Drosophila melanogaster: one gene and its partner. The protein of the gene in region 1 interacts with the protein of each later gene in a pairwise test. Each region holds a gene or a part of one and is shown in the gene's direction. Other genes may lie near its edges.

Region 1 (8,642 bases):
GCGTGAGTTCGCCCTCGTAGTAATAGTCGTTCTCGAAGACAGCAACCCCACTGCCTGTGAGATCGTCTCCGGAGAAGCTGCCCTCGAAGTAGTCGCCGCGGTTGGTGATGCAGCTGCCGATTCCAGATCGCTTGTTATCCGCAAACATGCCCATGTACTTGTCCCCGCTAACCAGATCCTCTATCACTCCGTATCCACTGCGTGCATTGGCCTGGTACTCGCCCACGTAGATGTATCGGTTGTTCCGCATCACTCCATGGCCGTGAAACAGGCCCTCGCAAAAATTTCCTTCGTAGACTTCGCTCTCGGGGGAATCCTTACAGTGCATTTCGTAAACACCGTGGCCGTGGAACCGGCCACCTTTAAAGTTACCTACATACAGCCCCGTTGTCGGAATCACCATTTTGCCGAAACCTTAGGAATAACGTTCTTTTAATGCTTTTTTCTATCTCTAAACTATCGTTTTGGATGATCATCGATAATTTACATAGGAGCTATATAACTAAATAACACCCAGGTCAATTATAACTCACCTTCAATGATCCCGTGTTGCAGCTCTCCGCAGTATACACTTCCGTCTGGATACTCAAGGTAGCAATTTCCGTGGAGAACGCCCTTTCTCCAGGTACCGCACGCTTTCACCCTGGAGAACTTTGGGTGTTCCCGACTAAACTCGTACCCCGTGGAGCGATAGCTGGGCACAGGACTTCCGAGAGGTTTGCCCAAGGACGCTATAATGCTCGATTGCAACTGGTCCAGCCACACCTTGCGCATCTCCTGCGAACGGGTGCTTACCAGAAAGGATTTTTCCGGCGTGGTCAAGCGCAGGCTGTCGCCTTCGGTCCACACCCACAGGGTAGTTAAGGGATACGAGTACAGCGAGTTGCCGCTTACCTGGCAGAGGAAGTCCGAAAAGAGAATGAAACTGTTGCTTGACCTGCTGATACCAGAAGTGACTAGTTTCAATGGAACCAAAGCCGACGTCAAAATAACCCTTCTGTGACGTCCTCTGAACTGCACAATCCTCGGGTTTCTATCGTTGCTGCTCCAGAAATCCTTGGTATTCACGGCGAGCTCCTGGCTGATGCAGCTGTGCCGCGCGAACTCCGACCAGGCCACCCTATGCTCTCCGTACTCAGATTGCGTCCTCACCAGCAGCTCCATAAACTGGACAAACAGCTGGTAGATACTGAAGGGTTGCTGGAACAACCGAGTGACGTAGCTCTCCTCGTTGAGCTCGGCCAGCGGGCTGCTGAGTCCAGTAATGGCGACCACCGCCTCTCCAAATCCATTGACCGAGAACACATCGCAATAGGCCTTTGTGTAGCCGTCAAACAGATCGATGTACTCTTTGTAATGACAGATAAACAACAGGTCGGCAGGCTGCACAAAGTCCGCTCGGTAGAATCCCTCTAGCGAATGCAAAGTGGCCACTAGCAGGCACAGTATTCTCTCCCAGTTGATCAGCAAGGGACCGAGGGCGCTGAGCGGCTCCAGTGCCGACTGTCTTTGCCAGATTTCGAGTGTTTGGACTGCCTGTCGATGCTTGAGAAGCAGTTGTAACTGTGACTGCAGATGACTCAGATAGTAGTGATACTGCCGCTGGAACTGCCTTTGGTTTTGAAGTGTGTATCCGCCAGAACACATAAGCAAACGTAGTTGTCTGGGCCACGCTGCTCCCAACTGAAGCTGGAGAAGCGTCTGCGCGTATGTGCTGGACTGCTGCAGATGTCGCATTGGAGGCGCAGGTTGAAGGGAATGTATTTGACCCGAGGCATTGAGCAGTAGTGTATGGTAGTCGCCGCAAGTCGCCTCAAGCGCCGAGTTTTGTTCTATGGGTAGTGCTGCCGTGTTTTCCGTAATTGTGATCTCCATGGGCGAGCTGACATCTTCACCCAACTGAGAGTGGTTGTTCAGGCCCCAGTGGTAGAGCCTTCCGTCCAGAGTGCGGGCCACCGTGTGCTCTAATCCAGCTGCAATGCTGCACACGCCCATGCTGTCTAGTTTCTGCAAGCGCATCACATTGGCCCTCCGGATATGATCCCCACTGCCCAGGAGACCATTATTGGAGGCTCCGAATGTGAAAAGTTGGGTGTGGAGCAGAGCGTATCCTTGGTGAAGAAGGTGCCTTGTGTTAGCCGCAACGCTGCGCTCCGAGTGGCCACTGCTTATGGATTTTACAGAGGCCCGTTCATCCTCGGGTTCTTCCTTCGCACTGGCCACCGACAGCTGGAGTGCATCGTCGGCCAGGTTGTAGGGAGCTACTAACATCACAAAGTGCTCGTTTCCGGCTGCTAAGTCCAACAGTTCCTTGCCCTCTTCGTAAAGGCGCATGTGCCGAGGCTGTTGTTCTGCCTTGAAGACTTCGCCGCAGCTGCCCATGACATAGGTCTCCCCACTAGCGCCGACGAAGACAACGCCCTGGGCGGAGCAGCAAACCCGTCGGATGCGTACGCCCTCAGCATGCAATTCGAGAGGGTCGAAACCGAGGGTTTGCCACGCATGTGGATGACCCACATCCCGGCCAGATCCCGTGGCTTGGCGCTGCACAGAGCCATTGGTGAGGACTACGAATAGTTCCTGACTGCCGGAGCAGAAGTCCATATCCACAACATCGGTACGCAGGAGTTGAAGATCCATGTGTTCGCGGTTGGCCTGCAGCTTGGCGGAGTAGAGGGCGTGGTCAGTGGTCAGAAGGAGCAGTTCCCCGCCGGCATTGCTGCAAATCCGGGATGCGGGAAACCGCTGCAGGGGCGGCAATCCGCGCCAGTGAAGCTGTAGCTCCCTGCCTTCATGATAGATGGTGAAGGACTCCCGCTCCTCCTGACCCCCAAGTGCCGAGTCATCCGCTGCACTGGCCATGATGTGCAAATTTTTGTTGGGGTTTTGGACAGGGCCAAAGCTTTGTAACACGACGCAATTGCTCGATTTGTCTGCAGGTCGTTCTCACATCGTGCACGTGCTCCGGTCCACGCTAGGCACTACTGGCACCAACGAACATCATATAACTTGATTCGGAATGCAACTCTAGCTGCCACGATAAAATAAATTCTGTTTTCACTTGTTCTTAACTGGCTAATAAGAATTCATGTTTTTGTGATGGTTTTTTGGATTAGTGTGACCAGCGCTATCGAGTCCCAATGAGAATTTATTAAGTAAGGGTGTTCGGGTAAAAGTGACGTTCTAAAATTGGGCTTATCACTATTTATTTGGTCCATGCAAATTGTTGTTTTATAACCAATTTTGAAAACACACATAATACCTTATACGTAAACTCAATATTGTAGTTAGCTAGAACTCTTATATAAATTTAAATAACTCCTTAGTTGCATTCGCCATAATCATGGAACCAGTCAACACAAAAAAGTTATTTTGGTATTTTTTTGCGATACATCAATTTGTTTTAATATGGTCATATTGTTTTTGCCATCAGCTGTTCGACTCAAAAGTTTTTGCATGTTTTGTTTATTTCGCTTAAAATGTAGTTTTATCGTTAATTAGGAAAAGTTACCCACGGTAAAAAAAAACAACCGTCAACAATTGTTCAGAAACATCAACTAGTACGACTCAGTGGACACCTCCGTGTGGTACTGCTGGTTTGCATACGCCCACAAAAGTTGTTTTAAGCCACAAACTCACCCTCCTAAAATAAAATTTTTTCAGCTCGGTTATGGATTTGGACTGCGAGGGCGCTACAGCTTTGGCTGACGACTCAGGGCACTTTAGCTGCACTAGCGATGATGGAGTAGGAGATCCTGCTCAGAAACCGGCGCCGCAGCCTGAACCGGACCAATCGATTTTTCTGGTGCGGCAAGAGCTGCTTCGGACGCGCAGTGAGGTGCAAAGGCTCTTAAAATCGGAGCAGTGGTACAAGCAGGAGCTTAAGTCCCAGAAGCACAGCAGGCTACAGACGCTAGAACGATTGTACGCACAGGAACGGAAGTATTTGATGGAGAACCAGAAGCTGCAGCAAGAATCGATCCGCCTGCACACACAATGCGCCACTCTGGAGAAGCAGCAGGAGCAGGGCTCACCATTTTCCCCTGGCTCATCGCCGTTTAAAGCAGACTCGGAGTCACACGACTCCTCTTTTGAGGCCAAACAGCAGGAGGCGCGCCTACGGGATCAGCGTCAGTTGATCGACGTGCTCCGAAGGCAAAAGAAGATGCTTCTGGACGACATCCAGAGGATCAGTCTGGAACACGATGAAAAACTTTCGCAGTTGCAGCAAACTGTTGTCGGCATGGAGCTGGAGAGCAAGCACGTGACTGGAAAATGCAAGCAACTACTTGACCTTAAAAGTCAAATGGAGCACCAGCTAGAGCTAAGAAGCACTACCCTACGCAGTGTCACCGCGGAGCGTGATCAGCTGCGCCAAGTCATTGCTGAGCTTAACGAGACGCTGCAAACGCAGGAGCATCTGTTAGCGCTAAAGGAACAGGAGTTCCTGGATTTGAAACAGTACTACCAACAAAAGCTGAAACGGGAGAGTAGCATGGAAATTATGCACTCTTATAGCATGAAATTTCACGAAGAGATCAACAGAAAAACGAGTGAAATTGCCAGCCTTAAGAATTCTCTTAACGAGCTTCAGGCCGAGCTGATGCTGATGTCTCACATGAAAGAGCAATGCGAGGAACAGCAGCGTCAGCTTGAGCAACTGGAGTTCGCATTGCAGGCACAACTTTTGGAGGAGACTCAACTTCGGCAAAGCAATGCTCTAAAACTGGAGCAGGTGGAAAATTTAACAATTTCTTTGGCTTCGTTACAACTAGATAAGGAAGGCTTAAAAGAAAATTTAGGTGAGGCGCAAAAGACCTTGAAAAATCTACAGCAGAAGGTGGACATTCTTCAAAAACAGTATGCCGAAATGTGCTCCTTGTGTCAAAAGACTAAACAGCAATTGGAACTGGAGAAAATCGAGATTGCCAAAATGAAGCAAAACGGTTCCTTAAAGGAAAGTGAGCTAATGGAGAAACTCAAAGATTATGCAGCGCAGTGTGATGAGCTGAGAAAAGCGTTGGCCGAAGCAGAGTCCCGTATCGATGTCCAAATCAAAAAGACAGAGGGCTGGCAAGTGCAGTTGAAACACAACCAAGCGACCCAAACGGACCTCGAAGATCCGATTTTAGTTCAACGCATTGAGACTTTGGAACAACAACTAGCGGATGTCAGGAGCCAAAAATTGCACACAGTTTCGCTGCTCCAAATACTGCTTCAACAGCAAGAAGCTAAAATCAAGAGCACTAACGAAATGGAAGCAGACTGGCAACAACTGTTAGATGCTCTGCAAGCTACTCAAAGCTTGGAGCAGGAAATGCGATCAGAACTACAGCATAAGACGGTTGAATTGGAGCACCTGAATGAATTGTTCGCTGGACAAAATGATGAACTGCAAAAGCTCCAGAAATTGAGCCAAGCGCAGGACGAGGAAAATCGACTAGAGTTACAGCTTTTGAAGAAAACATTCCAAGAGAATCTGAAGATAAACTCCGCTGCGTCGATTAACATGCAAAGGCTGCAAGGCCAGGTAAAGTCTTTGCTAGATGAGAAGGAGGAAATTGCGCGAGAAGAACGCAAAGCAGTAGAGTGTTTGCGATCTCTTGGTCACGTTCTTGAGATGGAAACAGGAAGGAGGCTACCACATATAAAAAGCTGGCCTCAGTTGGCCAAAATTCTTCGAAAGGAACTGCGAAATGGGAGGGTTAACAATCGAAAGGCTGAAGAGCTTCCTGGGCTTAAAATGAAGCTGGCGGAGATCAGCGGAAGGCATCAGCAAGCTTTGTCAAAAATTAAGGTATGTTATGTCTTACTCCCTTAAAGTAACTCTTTGTAACACAATTAATTGCTTTTTACAGTGTCTGGAGCACACTTTGGTAATGGAGCGAGCGCGGTTTGAGGCCTCGGACTCGGGCAAATCGACGGCTAGCAACACGCCCCAGGAACCCGCCCATGAAGTGGCTAATCTTATTGATGACTACAAGAAGGTAAGTATGTTCCCCTCCGATTGGCTTCTCTTGACATTTCCTTAATTGATTTACAGCTCGTTCAGCAAACCGCCAATGAAACATGTCGCCCTCGCAACAGCTTCATATTCGATCTGATTGAGCGGAGTCAGCGATGCCAACCGAATTTGTGCCAATTAGGCGAGGGTATTTCCGCCTGCCAGTCTGATATGAAGGAGCTAAGCAGGATTATTATTGCTGGTCGGGAACGGAGGAGAGTGGAGCCCATGCCCTCCCTCATGGATGAACTTCGAGCGGTGGCCGAGCACTCTTAGACGAGCATAATTTAGTTTTCAGTCAAATACTTATAAATTTCCTATTTAGTACCTATTTGTTTAGTCTCAAATTTTGTTTTCCTAAAAGGGGCAATTAGTGAATTGAGTTTTTGTGCCTAGTCTCATAGGCCTAATTTTCAATCAGATCCAACTTAGTTCAATTTATATAAATATTTATTTTGTTGTCTTTTGTGTTCGTTATCTTTATTTATGTGTAACGCATTCTGTTAGTTTCACCAATTCTATATACATACTAATTGCCAAACTATACCAATATTTTTTCTACAAGATATATAAACCATTGTTGGTTGCCACAAAAATGTGTAATTATTTTTATAGTCCATAACATTTAAAGTTAAAAACCTTGTGTAGATAAAACATATTTGTGTGAAGTCGATCAGTGCACATCATTTACTTTCGTGGGCACCTAGGGATTTTAGTACCATCGTTCTCCGAAATAACTTCCTTTTTGTCATATATCGTATTTCCGTTTTCATCCACGTCCAGAACTTCCTGTATTACCCCTTTTCGAGTTCGTGTTATCCCACACATAGGCTTATCGTTTTTATCCATGCACAAAATCAGGAGCTCAGTGTGCTGTAGATCAGAGGGCTTTAGGACCTTTGTTACCTTACAAGATGCCGTAAACTTTATGGGGCACGTCACCCCGGCACATTGCCAACCATCTGGGGGGAAATAATTATTAACATAGATGTTCCAATACTACTCGTATCCATGTAATCCATACACTTAGTCTTCTTTACCGTCGCTCGATTTAAGTCCTCATTTAGGTGCCGATCTCCGTCTGCCTTAAAATAAATGTACGATCCATAATACTCCATATACGGATTTACCCTTACCACGGTGTGGTCAGCAAAAGATAAAATGGCCAGCACTACCAATATTAAGGAGATAAAGATATTCATAGCTCAACCTTGCTGATGCAGTTTTCCTCTATGACTGATTGATTCAAACAAGTCTGCTGATGTATTGGATCAGCCTAATGTGTAATGTGTGTGTTCCACAGAACAAAGATACACCCCTGCAACTGAGTTCAGAATTTAATAACACTATAGTTTATATACGTTTCCGGACGTCTTACATTGGGAATTGTTATTCCTGTATTGTATTCACAATCAGTCACTTAGAAAGTCGCCTTGGAAGCGGAAACATGTCTTCGTCAGGGTGACTTAAGCTGTGGCAAATTGATTCTCCAATCAGAGACGGTGGCATTCTTTTCCATTCCGTTCGAAATGCATTAGGCGTAGGTACCCGACAACACCCTTGGCATTGTCAACGCCTGGAAAGGAATCCGGAGGGACCCGCACGAGGAGGGCGATCCACTTGGGTATTGATAAATGCGTTGAAAACTAAGCGACCGCCCAGTGGATTACCACGGCCCCACGCCAGGCTGCCCGATTCCCGATCCTCGACACCCCTCCCGCTGCCAGCTCGCGATGAGGAGCAATCGACAACAATCGCTGGTCAAATTCAATTGGCGCAATTTTTCATCTGTGGCTCCCAGGGATCCGATCTGGCGGATCCTTTTGGCTCTGCCTGCTGCCGTCTATTGTTGCCCTGGGCCTTGGCAATTGTTCTCGGCTCTGGATCTCTGGAGCTATGGGGCCATGGAGCCACGGGGCCATGGGCTATGGAGGTATATGGCTGCGGAGCCCTTGGGCTCAAGGTTGTTTATTTTGAAAAATCACCATCACCCGATCGTGGCTTGTGCCGACGGCTGGGGATTTAATTCTGTTCTGGACATTTATAAATTGCATTCAATTTATACACAACACGAAAGCGTGATTTTTACATTTTTACAATCTAGCGAATAATAGATCAGCGTCGTATTATTGCGGACTCCTTGCTCCAATGCTCTTTGGGGCCATACCTTCTTTGGGTCTCCAGCCCGTGCCGTGGACTGGTAGTTGATTGAAAGTAGTGTTGCTCAGGCAACAACTAAACCAATAAAATACGCAAATATCTATAATATTATTATTTATATATTCCGTTGAAATTGAAATTATCCTATCTTAATACTGTAAATATATATTTTTTATAATTTCTTAACGTCAACAGCAATAATATATAATAATATATATAATATAATGTAGTCGTAAACAATTACTTATTCTGTTCAGTAATGATACATTGTTGAATGCTTTTTAATGGCAATAGCCTTAAATTCGGCGAAAAGTTGAATAACTACGATTTCATTTCGTTTTTCATTAAAAATGTTGGAAATGTAAAAATTTCAGATATCTCTTAAAATTGTCTGTTTACCCGCATTGACACCCGTTCGAGGTCTATTATTATTGGAGTCCAAGTTCCCAGCCAGGTCCAGCAAGGTGGGGACATCGTG
Region 2 (6,848 bases), on another chromosome or scaffold:
GTGGGGTTGATCAAAGCCAGCGAGCTGTACTGCTTGCTCGGCTCCGTGGAGCTCTCATAGGTGCTGTCAATCTCGTTCCTGAACTCGGGCTATCAAGGAGGGGAAAGCGGTTAGTATCTTAAGCGCACCACACCGTTTGGTTCACTCACGATGGCATATGGAGGTGTTCCGAAGATCCACTGGTATATGGACTTGTCGTCTCTGTACCATTTGACGGTGATGAACTTCGGGCTCTCCTCCACCTCGTAGTCGCAGTCCAGGATCGTGGGCTCCATCTCCTCGTTCTGAAGGACTATAATCTTGTCCTCGGACTCATCCCTCGTGGGATAGCATAGCGCATCTGGGGGAGAGCGAATATTACTGATTAGAACGCAGAATTCAGAAACGAAACGAAAAGCTTTTAGCACGACGAGGTCTCGAAATTACAGAACACGCGCGGTATTATTTGGAATATATGTACATATGCAGCACAGGCAAATCCAAAACACATTGTACACAAAAATCTATATAATTTGGCGAAAGCGTATATTTACGAGAAGCGAAAACGCGATGAGCGGATGCCTGTTTCGTTTTAAAAATAGACACTAATAACAAACAAAAGCTAGAAAATTGAACATTTTTCATTCGGCAGTTTGTCATCATGTGTGCCAAAATTCTGAAAACTCTGTTCAATTTTATTAGGTTCCTTTCGCTGGAATCTTTTGCTTTCCACTTAGCATCTATTGCTCCGACTTCAAAACCACTGGCGCTTTTTCCACATTGAAAAACATATAGTTTCGAACACGAATAATTGCACGTAAAATCCTTCAGCCCGTTCAAATCCACAAATTAAAGGATAATCGAATCTGCACATATTGTTTATATATTGTTTATATATTGTTTATATTCCGTTTTAGCACATGTTAACTCAGAACCGAATGTGGATATACGTTCGTATTTATAGATATCCGATTTGTCATTATTTTTCTCAAGGTTTGCGCATTCGAAATTCGTTTATATGCGCCTTCCGAATGATTTCATTTCTTAATTTAAAAATCGCGTTTCCCATATCGGTTGCTGGCTGGATCGCCACAGGATCTGGCTGTACCTCTGTGGAGCAGTCCGATGGCCAGAATGGCGATCAGCAGGGTATCCATAACGGTCACTATCCTATCTACACTTCCACTTCCACTCGTATGCCAGACTTCTCAACCGATCCTAACTCAGCGGTCCGCTCGGCATGGTACAACTAAGGCAACTAAATGCTCTTGGCCGCCAGAGAACCGAAAACTGAAAACCGAGAAATGAGGAACGAGAGCTCTTGGCCAAGACCACGCAGCGTAACCAAACGAATTCGAATTTAGCCGAGATAATGCCGGCACTTCCTCTCCGGCACACGATCCTCCTACCCTAACCCTCCTCCTCCTCGCATAGCCCGTGCCACTTGACTTGTGCGCGACTCTCGGAGCACAAGCACGATCTTTGCATGGACATGTGGGGAGATCGCTCCGCAGCTGGCCAGGCACCACCACCAACCAAGTCGCCCTGCATGTGTGGGGGTTGGACACAACCTTTCCGCTTCGATACTCTCCGCTGCTCCTAGCTGCCGTTGACTATTTGAAAACCAGTTGGCCGCCCAGCTGAGGCGCACTCCTACAACTAGGGATAGTCGAGGGTAACATGCAAGACCGTTAAAGGACAGGGGGTGTCGAGCGTAGTCCTTAAGGACCTTTTCTTCTTCTCGACCGAAGTTAAGGGCTGTTGTAACGATTGGCGTTAATAATATGCTGTCTCCATGGCAATAGGGATCATTAACATTCCTGTAATTCTGTTGAAATTCCGATAGAAGGCATTTTTAAGTCGAATTTCTCGAATTTGTTTACAATTGAATAAATCTTAGGGTATTAGCCGTTCAGTTACTCATAGGTTTAAGTATATCCATATGCTTGAGTTTTTGTAAAGACTTAGTTAGTCGTTCCAACTCGGTGATTAGCAAAAGAAAAAGCCTTCACTATACCAAGTTAGTGTGTAAGTGCAACACACACCTATGCATGATAAACCCTTTTTCTTTACTTTATGTTTTCCAAACTAACGTTAGTTGTTTTCAGAATGACTCAATAGAACCTGATACTTGTTCGATGCATGTAGTTCCAGGCTCATTTGCACCCACAACTAGGTTGAAACCTACTTAAACTAGCTTCCCATTTAGATGCTCTATAACTAAATAATATGTTGCTGTTTTTACAGGATTTTCGGGGTGGGTTTGAGATCGGGTTAAGCAAACAATGCAGGTGGGTTTCGTTCAGGTCGATCACCTCCAACATCTGGTTACTATACTATTTATTAAATGTAAAATGAGTTCATATCTTTGCGTTTGATACAATTACAATTGGAAAGGTTATAATTTTACACATATATTGGATATATTTTAACCTAAAATGTAACACAGTAACTTATTCCAAAACTTTCGGAATGTCGTAATGTTGTATTATTATGATTGCCATAACAATTCTCCGATTTACATAGACTTGCGATTTAAGTAATGATTACTACAAAGTAGAGTTTCTTTTTGCACGAGTGTTAGTTTGAGCATGATGTGCATCTATTAGGTGGCTTTGTTTTCCTAGAGACTTAGTCGTTCCAATTCGTTGATTAAGAAAAGAAAAGGCTCACTCTACCATGCAAATGTGTAAAATCCACAAAGGCAACTAAGACCATTTTTCAACTGGAAAAAGAGGCACATTCTAAACTTTTACCTCGTATGTTTGACTAAACTGATCCCAATGAAATTGTTTCCGAAGATAGATACATTGAATTTGGAACTGTTTTTCTTTGAAAATTTAACTAAATGGCTTCAGCACATGGAACAACCAGCCTATCCTATTAGCAATCCAGCATTAGGGTGTCCAAAAAAAAAAGGACTTCAGCGCAGAGTAAATAAAAATTAGGCAGGACTCTGATTAGCAGGAATTAACTAATCGAAATAATCCGCAGAGCAAATAATTGTTTCCGAAAACAGGGGTTGTATCCTGCCAGTGACTTTAAACAATGTTTCAATCAGCCCAATGTTATAAACAAGAAAAGATAGTAAGGTGTCTCTTATCCATTGTGTGCGGTACAACACCATTTGTTTTATCAAGTTGGCGAAGTGCTGTACTCGTGATGACGGACTGTCCGATACCCTTTCCATTTCATATATGAAGTTTAAATATATTTTATAATTTATGTTACTTTGGCTGTTCCTTAAGAGTTATTGCAACGTAAAGAGGATTTTCATTTTTCTTACTTTTTATATTATCCCAGAGAAGCATTTCCTTTAATCGCTCAGACAGGACATCCCAGCGTCATGGTTGCCCGATAAGCCAATTTAATCTTCTGAGTGTTGCTTTTTGAGGCCTGTGAAAATTGGTGCACTCAAAGAAAAGTTCGCTTAAAGATGGAGCTTGGAAAATATTCAGATTTTGAAGAAATATTCATTGAAAAGAAGATTTCTGAGTGAAGATTAGATCAGAGCCAACAGACAGCGATGCAATCAATGAAATTAAAACCAAAACCAATTCTTTAGACATGCTGTGACAAGTCAATTGGGGAAATGCGGTGAATTTTCGCGCAGTGCACGACACGCGCCGGAAAGTCAGATTTCCACCCCTATGTCGAGTGGAGCTCGTTAGGACCGCCTCCAAACGCGGAAACGAATGAAATTTTCCGTCCCGCTCTCCCGAGACAAGTGCAGCATCCTTGTTCGTCCAACGTGGATGTCCTGTAGTTGATACAATCGTAATCGAAGCTTATTTATTCAAGGGCAGTTAAAAGTGTGTGCGGCCGCGGAGCTACTATAACTATGTGTTTTATGGCCGAATGACTCATTAGCGGGCTGTAAAATTTCAATCGAGTGCCGTGTGTGAATTTACCTGCAGATGCGATGGAATTTTCACTGCTCAACAAGGCGAACTTCGACAAGGATTGTTTGTACACCGCGAACTCGGAGTTCTACAACAGCGGCGCCAATGGAGGAGGACTCTCCGTGGCCAATCACATAAATCACTACAACCTCATGATTGACTCCAGTTACAAGCTCTGCGCCAACGAGTCCGCAATCCGGGGTTCCCTCAACCAGGAGTCGAGCTTATTGTTCTCCAAAATCACCACTGTCTCCGAGTTTTACCCGGCCACCCATAACATTGGCTCCTACAACACGGGTAAGTACAGTGGCCATCAGTTCCACCTGCAGCCAGTGCACCTGGATGGATCGATTATGGATTGTAATCTTGAACCAACTCTCACCTCGCCATAGACTTCCATTTGAAGTCCTATGGAGACGACGGCTTGAGCCTGACCGACAAATCAAAACAGAGGCGCATTCGCACCACTTTCACGTCCAACCAGCTGAACGAGCTGGAGAAGATCTTCCTGGAAACCCACTACCCAGATATCTACACCAGGGAAGAGATCGCATCCAAGCTGCACTTGACGGAAGCTCGAGTTCAGGTGAGGAAAACTAATGAGATTGAATTGCTGGTTAAGTGAGTGGGTAGTTTAGGATACACATATTTCAATAATTAACATATAACAAATAATACTTACATAATATAATATAACTATTGAAAAGAACTCGATCTGCTGTTGATAGGTTCAAATATTATAGGTTTCTCGAAGCCAGCTTACAATCGAAACGAATTTAGTCATATCCTGTTGAAGGATACAAAACGACTTAGTAATCGAAATTAAAAAAAAAAAAAACCATTGTGTGTTTTAGGTCTGGTTCCAGAACAGAAGAGCCAAGTTTCGCAAGCAGGAGAGGCATGCCATTTACATAATGAAGGACAAGTCGAGCAAATTGGATGGCCGGAAGAATCCTGTAGCAGGATCGAAATACCTGGGCCCATCTCTCAAGGGACCCCAGAATGGCCATGGCCGTCAAATGAAATGCTTATACGATCAAATATAGAATCCACTAATATCTATGTAAATATTAGTATACATTTTGATGAATGCAGTTATTTTGATATTATTTTTACTGACTATTTGGAGCGAATTGCGTTAAATAAATAAGATCTGTGTAACACTTTGCTTGTTTTCATATCATCCGGGACAACTGGCTTAGCACCCTTTTGAGGGCTCAGCCGGCTAAGCCTGTGGGAAGAAAAACAAGGACTTGAATGGGGGTTGAAGGGTCACCATCTACAAGTACCAAACCTCACGCCCTTCAGGGGTAAATTGTCATCCCATTATCGGGTGGAAAAAGTGGATTGGATCGGCATTAGGGCGTGTAATCAGTTGATGGTGGCGATTCGGTGCGCTCAATATAGCAATTGTTGTGGAGTGCCCACCGCAGGGATTGGCGGTGAATACCTTTCAGATCTAATTAACAAGATCAAGATTGAATTGCAGTTTATTGAAATCATATGTGCCCAGATGTATAACTTAATATTGCAATTTATAAGTAGTGCCCGCCTTTCAACACCCTCGAATGATTTTAATAAACTGTGAAATCGTTGTTCATTTTACATTTTTCTACACTTCATTAGTGAAACGTATATACAGATATTAAATATATACATAAATATACAAATATCATTTAGCCTTTTAACTATATATAAAACGTACTCTTCCGTTTTTTAAATAGTTTTGTTGCAATTTGATTTGATTATTTTATGTGTTTTTTCATTTAGAATAAAAGAATTCAAATTAATTATTTTATTCAAATATTCCAAGGACATTTTCAATTCCATCGTTCCCGGAAAAAGCAACATATTATAAGTCGAAATACCCTCAATGCTTTCGAATACGAAAATACCGCTATCTGCGGTATTAACTGGCGAACGCGCTAGGGATTTTGTTGCTCTTTTGGCCAGCTGCATGTTATTTGTTAATCGGCTGGTTATAACACTTTATGAATTAAAAAAGACAATTGACAATGCTGCGATCGAGGATTTCCTGCGCACTGCCACCCAGGAGACTGGTGTCCTACTTCTCGGCGGAATTCAACAAGGTGGCGCACGAGGGACCGGCTAAATTCGCCGCAGGCAGCAGTCATGCCGTAACGAGTGTGGATTTGGATGTGTTCGTCAATCCGGATAACCGTCCCATGGACCTGGTGGACCGGCTGCTCAAGCTCAGGTGGGTGCGGCCATATTGGAAGTAGTGTCCCTACTCATAAGATAACTCTTGCAGGAAACAGAAGGAGGCCAGTTTGGTGCCGCTGATTCCCAGTGTCTTGGTCAAGCAATTGCTGGACTCCACCAATCCGCAGGAGACGATATCGGTGCTCCGTAATCCCATCCAGTACGGGCTCTTTGTGGACCAGTTCTCTGGCTGCTTCCTGTTGGACTTCCTGCTGCACAATGGCCACGCGGTGGAATCTGCCCAGCTGGCCACTATTCTCGTGGACAGAAACTTATGCAACAACGAGTTGCTGGAGTCCCTGGCCCTACAGTCCTTCTGGTCCTTCGCCAAGGAGTTCAAGCCCTTCGAGTCCTCTCAAGTTCAACCTCCTGCCAAAAATGTTGAAGTGGTAAGATGATTTTCGATAGTGGCTGAATTATCAGCTAAGCGGCTGGAAACTTTATTCACTCATAAATAGCTATTTAAGATTTTGTTCATTTTGGCATTTTACCAAGTTTACTAATCATACCTGAATTTGCTAGGAAAAAGTTCGCGTGAAGTTCATTCGCAATTACCCCGACGACGCCAGCGAAAATACCGAAGAGAAGAAACTGGGTCGCGCCATGGTTCGATTGGGCTCCGGCGAAGGGTCCTTGAAAGAGCTGAAGCAGAACGTTGCCCTACTTGGCTATGTCCTAACCGGACAAGTGCCCGAGGCCTCCAGCTTTCTGGCCTCGAACTCAGCTGCCCTGCACAAGGAGACT

What was found.
Region 2: the proteins of CG11248 (region 1) and PHDP interact in a two-hybrid assay, tested with the Drosophila melanogaster proteins (one large-scale study listed by BioGRID).

What each region holds. Positions count from the first base shown.
Region 1 is NT_037436.4:21,676,637-21,685,278, forward strand, and holds CG11248 (uncharacterized protein), read left to right. Parts: upstream 1-3,413; 5' UTR 3,414-3,516; exon of another isoform or gene 3,517-3,596; intron 3,597-3,663; 5' UTR 3,664-3,670; coding exon 3,671-5,797; intron 5,798-5,858; coding exon 5,859-5,987; intron 5,988-6,043; coding exon 6,044-6,280; 3' UTR 6,281-6,595; downstream 6,596-8,642. Other genes in the region: Als2 (amyotrophic lateral sclerosis 2), read right to left, coding at 1-414, 534-2,862; Sfp78E (seminal fluid protein 78E), read right to left, coding at 6,692-6,966, 7,029-7,206.
Region 2 is NT_033778.4:23,881,366-23,888,213, reverse strand, and holds PHDP (putative homeodomain protein), read left to right. Parts: upstream 1-3,773; 5' UTR 3,774-3,901; coding exon 3,902-4,178; intron 4,179-4,273; coding exon 4,274-4,467; intron 4,468-4,735; coding exon 4,736-4,927; 3' UTR 4,928-5,078; downstream 5,079-6,848. Other genes in the region: CG5597 (uncharacterized protein), read right to left, coding at 1-89, 150-340, 1,088-1,136; CG4882 (uncharacterized protein), read left to right, coding at 5,897-6,099, 6,154-6,493, 6,627-6,848.